2 linked regions of the Danio rerio genome follow. The protein of the gene in region 2 interacts with the protein of the main gene of each other region in a pairwise test. Links are inferred from orthologs where the notes say so. Each region holds a gene or a part of one and is shown on either strand. Other genes may lie near its edges.

Evidence for each region.
Region 1: the proteins of zc2hc1a (region 2) and castor1 interact in binary tests that used the Homo sapiens proteins (3 or more experiments, as listed by UniProt). The two-hybrid records come from large-scale screens. The link is inferred for Danio rerio from reciprocal best matches to the Homo sapiens genes ZC2HC1A and CASTOR1.

What each region holds. Positions count from the first base shown.
Region 1 is NC_133180.1:12,719,046-12,722,882, forward strand, and holds part of castor1 (cytosolic arginine sensor for mTORC1 subunit 1), read right to left. Parts: intron 3,749-3,837; coding exon 3,625-3,748; intron 1,438-3,624; coding exon 1,327-1,437; intron 306-1,326; coding exon 223-305; intron 1-222. UniProt on the Homo sapiens protein: Functions as an intracellular arginine sensor within the amino acid-sensing branch of the TORC1 signaling pathway. As a homodimer or a heterodimer with CASTOR2, binds and inhibits the GATOR subcomplex GATOR2 and thereby mTORC1.
Region 2 is NC_133199.1:26,659,648-26,663,255, forward strand, and holds part of zc2hc1a (zinc finger C2HC domain-containing protein 1A), read right to left. Parts: intron 1,551-3,608; coding exon 1,445-1,550; intron 1,367-1,444; coding exon 1,256-1,366; intron 1-1,255.

The sequences.
Region 1 (3,837 bases), on a different chromosome or scaffold from region 2:
AATTTTTTTTTTTAATGCTTCTTGTTTTGTGTTTGACAAAAGCAGACAAAATCATGAAAATGTACAACCACCAGAGTGAGTGTAAAGTAAACGACAATTTCATTTTTGGGTAAGCTATCCCTTTAAGTGAAACTATTTTTAAATGATGACATATGTTGCCTTTGAATGTAGAACAGAAATAAATGAATAAATAAATAAAAAGAAAAAAACAATGTATCTCACCGAATCCAAGAGGCTGCCCTCCTATTCTCACCATTCTCCAGAGCTCACCAGAGGAGCTGGTGAACAGAAGATCAGCTGGGAATCTGACACACAGACACACACAATTAGGCATGGGACAAAAACCATTTTTAAGGTATACCGTGGATAAGAAAAGTCAAGTTTTTAAAACCGCCAAAAAAATTTTTTAATAACTTTTCTAAGGTATGTGTAAGATTTTTTATCTACATTTTTTAGGACAACATCTCCAGCAGAAAAGATATCCAAAGATGCCATTTTAAAGTGTAAAGAAAGCTGTGTTTTTGAAACAAATAAGAACAGCAGAAGTCAATGATTCATTTTCATTATTCAGCCTGACATGTTTACTGCCCCAAAGTATTTTAAGTGTTTCTCAAAAAAAAAATATATATATATATTGTGTTCAAAAGGGGAAAAAGTTTATAATTTTAACCCAGACATTTAAAAAGAATATGTTTTAGAGCAGTATTCACAATACCGTCAAACCGTGAAACCATTATATTTTTATCCAAGGTTATCATACTGTCAGAATCTTCAACCGAGCCATGCCTACACACAATTATATATTTCTCAGACTGAATAGTGAAACATATAATGCTTTGATAATCTGTTGGTGGCTCTGTGAGGATCATACTGTTTTTTGTCCATTCATTTGTTTGATTTTGTGTGTGTGTGTGTGTGTGTGTGTGTACGTGTGTGCGTTTTAACTACTTATCAGCAGCATTGGCTATATTCTTGGCAACAGTGTTAATAAATGTTTAATAAATATTTTACACAACAGAAGATTTTCTTTAACATCCACTATAGAAAAAATTACAAAAGTACAAATGACAACAAAACTAATAAAAGCCAATACAAGAACTTTCAATTTAGTCAGTCATGCATATTCTAAAATTGCTCCAGAAGACACTTTTTCAAATACAAGTATTAAATCTTAATATATCCATACACATATAATAATGTTTTTTAGTCAAATTATTTTTTATGACCAATTGGTTTCTCTTGTCCAGTCAAGAAATATGAGTGGGCGGGTCTTTGAGTGGTAAATCTTGTTTTTACAACCTGGCTGTGTCTATGTGAAGGTCTTACTGTCTCTGTGCGTCTGTGTCCATCACTAAAGACACATATCCGTCAATCAGAGAGAAAGAGAAGAACTTGATGCACTCCATGTCTTGGTCAACACTGGCGCCCTCTTTAGGACTGCAGAAGAAAAACAGAAAGAAAAAAGACAGATGAAAACAGATTGCACGTACCATGATCTAAACCAGAGATGCCCAAAGTAGGGCCTGTGGGCCAAAGTTGGCCTATTGTAACCTTTTATTTGGCCCACCATGCCATCCCAAGAGAGTGAGAAGGATGTAAAGGATTTGGGTGAATGCCTTTAAAAGAGATCATCATTTTTAATTTGACGAAACCTTTTTTTGTTTGTTTTATTGTTTGATGAATGTATCCGCTTGTTAAGTGATGACGTGTTGGTGACGTATGTATACTGTTTCCGGGTCCAAGCCGCCATTCATCTGAGTGGAGAAATCATTCGTTTATGATCACGTTTTATTCCTATCACACATTAAAAGTTAATTTTATATAAAATCATAGTGTACACAACAATCTCTGGGCTTGCTGCATCACAAATACCAAAAATTTAACAATATATAAAAAAAATTATTACTTTCTGGCCATTGGATATTAGGCATGGACATATATACTGTAATCGTGATTTTCGAAAGCATTAAATCACTTTGTAAACATTTATTATTACCATTTCATGAGTCTCCCCATTCAGTTGAATAAAGCGCTTGGACCCGGAAGCCGCTTCGCGTGACGTCACACTTAACAAGCGGATTGTAAACGTTTCACTTAAATGTTGTAAATAAGTCAGATTTTAAAAAATGTAAATAACGTCACTCGATGGATTATGCAGACGACATCAGTAAGCAAATCAAGCGTAACTCCATTCTGTTATAAATGTAATAGTTTTTACTGTAATAAGTTTATTAAAAATTTAATGCAATAAAAATATGCTGCATTAGTTAATATAAAGCAATGTTTTCTAGCTATTTTTAAATATTATTAAATAAATAAGGAAATTACCTATGGCAACTGCTGAATGTTTACCTTCAGCCCACTGGCCTTAATCAAGTTTGGTTTTTGGCCCTTCATAAGAAAAGTTTGGGCACCCCTGATCAACACACACACACACATTAACTGACTTTGTGGTTTCTTTGAATATGTCTGCATTTATCATTTAAAATAAAAAGTTTTTCATATATTTGTATACCTTTTTAATTTCGGTGTTTCATCTTAGGTCATAGAAAGTAGGTACTCTTTTGTGACCATTTAACCCTCTGGGGTCGAAGACCGCGTATGTGCGTTTTGACCTGTGGTGGCGTCAAACTGCTGAAATGAACTTAAATAACACTTTCAGTTTTGATCGTACAGATAAGATCAATACATCAATTGAATCTGTTATGTGTCTACTTTTTGTTGTGTACACTCACAACAACAACAAACGTCTTTGCTTTTGCAAAATAAGGAAAACAAACAGTGTACGCATTCTGTCTTTTCTCTCTCCGTGATCTGCTTTTAGAAACGCGTCGGTAAAATGCACTAAAACTCCACAAATACAAAACACAAAGAGATGAGAAATGTGCACAAATGTTCTCTGTGTGTTTCGTGGCCTTGTTTCAGTGACTTCAAAATTTTAGTTTTTCACTAACCACGCATAAACGTTTCTTTCTCAAAAACACAAACACATACAAACATGCTGCTTCGGTATTATTGTAGCCCAACTTGTGCTGTTTACAGTGTTATCACACTTTAGCCATTTATATGTTTTTAAGATACTGAAAACAACACAGATGTCAGTGCATGTCAAAACTTCTCCAGAGCCCCAAAACACCCTCAGACCCCAGAGGGTTAAATGAATTCAATAAAATTAAATTTTACACAACAAAAGCAATCAAATGCAGACTACCTCTGTAAGTAGTCAAAAGAGGACAGGATCAAAACATTTTCAGACGCCTTTTCCTTTATTATTCCTTATTCTCTCTCCATTGAAGAAGATATTTTGAAGAAGTTTGGTCCTGTTACTAGAGACTTCTATAGTGTTTGTTTTTCCTACTATACAAGTTAAGAGTTTTCAGCTTTCTTCAAAATATCTTCTTTTGCAATCAAATGCTGAAAAAACTCAAAGTTTTGGGTGAACTACTGTATCACAAAATTTTAAAAGCAGAAAAGTTGTGCAATCACTTTCAATGTATGAAAGTGATTTAATTCAAAAAACCTCTTGCTGGCAGTAAATGACAGCGCTGACTTGCTTTTGTTGCTGCCAAACAATACTCAAAGCAGTGAAAAGATCACCAATGCACGGATCAGCACTTTTCATACCTGTTCGAGTAAAACAGAACGTCTATGAGGGTGGTTGCGATTGCTGGCAGAGTGTCCGGATCCAAACTCATTACGCAAAAATGATTCTCCGGGATCAACACTGGATGAACAGTTGCATGTGGAACTGAATGAACACAAAGACAAACTAGATTTAATATTCACGTTGGAATACTAGCATTTGTTAAGTGTACAAGCTGTTATTAAACCAAGCTG
Region 2 (3,608 bases):
AAAAATGGCAACTATAGTTGTAGGTGAACTTAAATGGGTTAAGTACTTACTGCCACATTAAGGTATACGCAAGCGTACACTTTTTTCAGATATTTGATTATCTAATAAAAAGCTGTGTATCTGCACTAAATTTATCATCATTAACAGGAGTTCTTGCTCAATCAAATTTATTTCTGTGTGCTTTACTTGTATTCTGTAGTAGGCAACATTAAATAAATGATGAGGTTTATTTTATTTTACTGAAGAATTTGTGAGGACTTGATATACTAATGCGTAACGTCCACAATAAATAAATGATCAAACTATAAATACAAAGAAATCCAAAATAAATAAACATTTGCTGCTTCTGTGAAAATGAGACATCAGCCTTGAACTTTGTTTTTGTCATTTACTGTACATCGGTTATATTTGTACAAAATTAATTTTTGTGTCAGTATAATAATGCCACATTTGAGCAGTGTTAGTGAACTGGAAGTATAAAGAAATGTTTGTCTAGTACTTTTTATTCATACCAATATACTGCAAGAACATCTTTACACTTCTGATCAGACTTCAGTACAGTATGACGGTAAGAGATGTAAACATGCAACTTTTTTGTTCCATATATGTGAGCGAAGATCTCTTTTTTTCTTATAATTGCTGATCAAAAATGAAGTGTTTATGTGACACAATTCTGAGAAGTATGGGTTTATATCTAGCTATTTCCACTTAACTTGCAAAAAGTCAGAATTGTAAGCTGCCAGATTTTTTTTTTCTTTTAATTACTGGAACAAACCAAATGTGTGTACACGTCACGCAATTTGGAGAATATACGCAAAGACACAAAGATGTCAACTGTCAATTGCAAGTCATTCGTCAAAACTGTCAGACACCGAGTCACATTTAAGTTTTTAATAATATATTATTCAGTGGCAGAAATGTGCTTCCCTATAACAAATGGAGCACAATATAACATGAGTGCAACAATTTTGCCACAGTGCATTTAAAGGTTTAAATTTCAATAACTATTTTCAGTAGAGCAATAACTATAAGAAGACTTGAAGAAAGATGTAGCCATCAAACTAGAGTCCCACACACAATGTTTGGAAGACAACTTTGGGCAGGATGTGTAATAATATTTTAGCAATGAATTAACTACATTCTAATAAAGAATAATGGTTGAATTTGTGTACAATTAATCAAATCAAAATCAAAATGTGGAACTGCTAGAAGTAAAACTCTTCACACCATGAATCCCAAAAGCTCAATGCCATACCTTGAAATACAGTTATCTGCATTCTGGATCTTCTTCTTGTTCATTCCTATACCAGTAGAAGGATTTCTCAGTGAGCTTTGTGAAACCATACCCTTGGGTTTCATGTTCCCCCTGTGAAAACACGAATGATGTTGGTGTAAAAGGGTGGAGAAAGTGTTGGGATTCAGGATTGGTGAGGGATTGTCTTACTCAGAGGGAGGGCTGGTCAAGCCGGATGAGTTGTTTCGTAACGGAGAGTATCCTGTTGGTGTGCTCTTTATTGAGCCTGTGGATGAGGGTTTGCTGCTAGGAATTCCTGAGGAGGAAGAGAAATGGACAGATGATTTTGATGAAAACATCTAATTATTATTGAAAAAATTGCTATTCTATTTTCTTTAGATAAAAATGCAAAATATAAAATGAACTGCTCTTATACTTTTTTCTGTGTTGTACTATATTTATATATGAAACTATTTTATAGTTTAACCAAAATTTAGAAATCAATTCAAAGTTTTCAGCAATGTGACTTATAGTTATGCATTTAAGTAAAATATATTTTTGGTTTTATTTTGTAAACTTTTAATGATAAATGTACCAAATTCATTGGGGTATATGCACAGCTAATGTTTTTCACGATGACACGATGACACGATGGCGCAGTGGGTAGTGCTGTCGCCTCACAGCAAGAAGGTTGCTGGTTTGAGCCTAGGCTGGGACAGTTGGCCTTTCTGTATGGAGTTTGCTTGTTCTCCCCATGTTGGCGTGGGTTTCCGCCGGGTGCTACGGTTTCCCCCACAGGTCCAAAGACTAAGCTAAATTGTTCATAGTGTATGTGTGTGAATGGGTGTGTGTGGATGTTTCTCTGTGATGATTCGCAGCTGGAAGGGCATCCGCTGCGTAAAAAGCATATGCTGGATAAGTTGGTGGTTCATTCTGCCGTGGCGACCCCAGATTTTTAAAGGGACTAAGCCGAAAAGTAAATGAATGAATGAATGAATGTTTTTTTTTTTTTTTTTTTTACAGCATTGATGTGGTAATGATTAAAATATAATCAGTAATATAGGCTTAAGCATCCATTTAGTTGTTAAGCAAAAGATGAAAGAGAGAAGAGAGAACTCCATTGAAAATACTTGGGTAAAATAAAATTCCATATTTTCAAGACATGGCGGAGAAAAATGGAATTTAATGCAGTGCTTCTTGTCTGGTCTGATTGCTGCTTTATATCATATATCAATAAGGCAGTGAAGATCACTGATTAAAAAAAAGAATCAGATCTTAAATGTGCCAATTTCGTAATGGCGCATCAGTTTAACTGTCTGAAAATTAAATGTCTGTATGCACACAGGTATGTGCCAGAAAATTAGAATAACGAGGGAAAGTCCATTTATTTCAATTATTTGTTTGAAAAAAGTGAAACGTGTGTTATATTAGTTCACTACACACAAAGAGAAATATTCAAAGCCTTCATTTTATTCAATTTTACTGATTATTGATTAAAGATTAAAAAAAAAAAAAAAACTAATCCAGTATTTCACAAAATTAGAATATCATGACAAGTTTAACATTGTGTGGCTCCCTGTGTCTCAATCTAGTCCACTAATTAATGCAAAGCCTTGAAATTGTCTCAGTCTGGCCAAGTAGGCTTCAGAATCATGGGGACGACTTCTGACTTGACAGTTGTGCAGAAGACCATCATTGGAACCCTCCATAAGGAGGAAAGGTCTCAAAGGGCAATTGCAAAAGAAGCTGGACGCTCTCAGAGTGCAGCATCTAAGTTTATTAATAGAGTGTTGGGAAGAGGGGAAAATGTTGCTGGAAAAGGTACACAAGTATGACCGCAGCCTTGAGAGGATTGTCAAGCAAGGGCAACTGAGGCTGGTCTCAGAACATCAAGAACCACCACATACAGCATGGCATGGGCTACAGCTCTAGAATTCCATGTCAAGCCACTACTGGGCTAAAGAGAAAAAAGTACTGGTCTGTTGCCCAGTGGTCCCAAGTCCTCTTTTCAGATTAAAGCAAATTTTGTATTTCATTCATTCAGGAAGAGCGGAGAGACACAAAAGTCAGGCTGCTTAAAGTCCAGTGTGAAGTTTGCACTGTCAGTGATGGATTGGAGAGCCTTGTCATATGCTGGTGTGGGTCTATTGTCTTTTATCAAGTCGACAGTCAACGCAGCTCTTCATGCTAGCTATGTAGTAACAAAATTGCTAAAACTAAAATGGAAATCCTGAATGCAAAAAGAAAAGTCACATATGTGTGTGTCAAACCCCTGCATAAATAACGACAGGGAAAAAAGTAGAGGTACGATAGTTGCATCAAACTGTGCAAAATTGAATCTTGATATAAATAACAAGGGGGAATAATTGGTTAA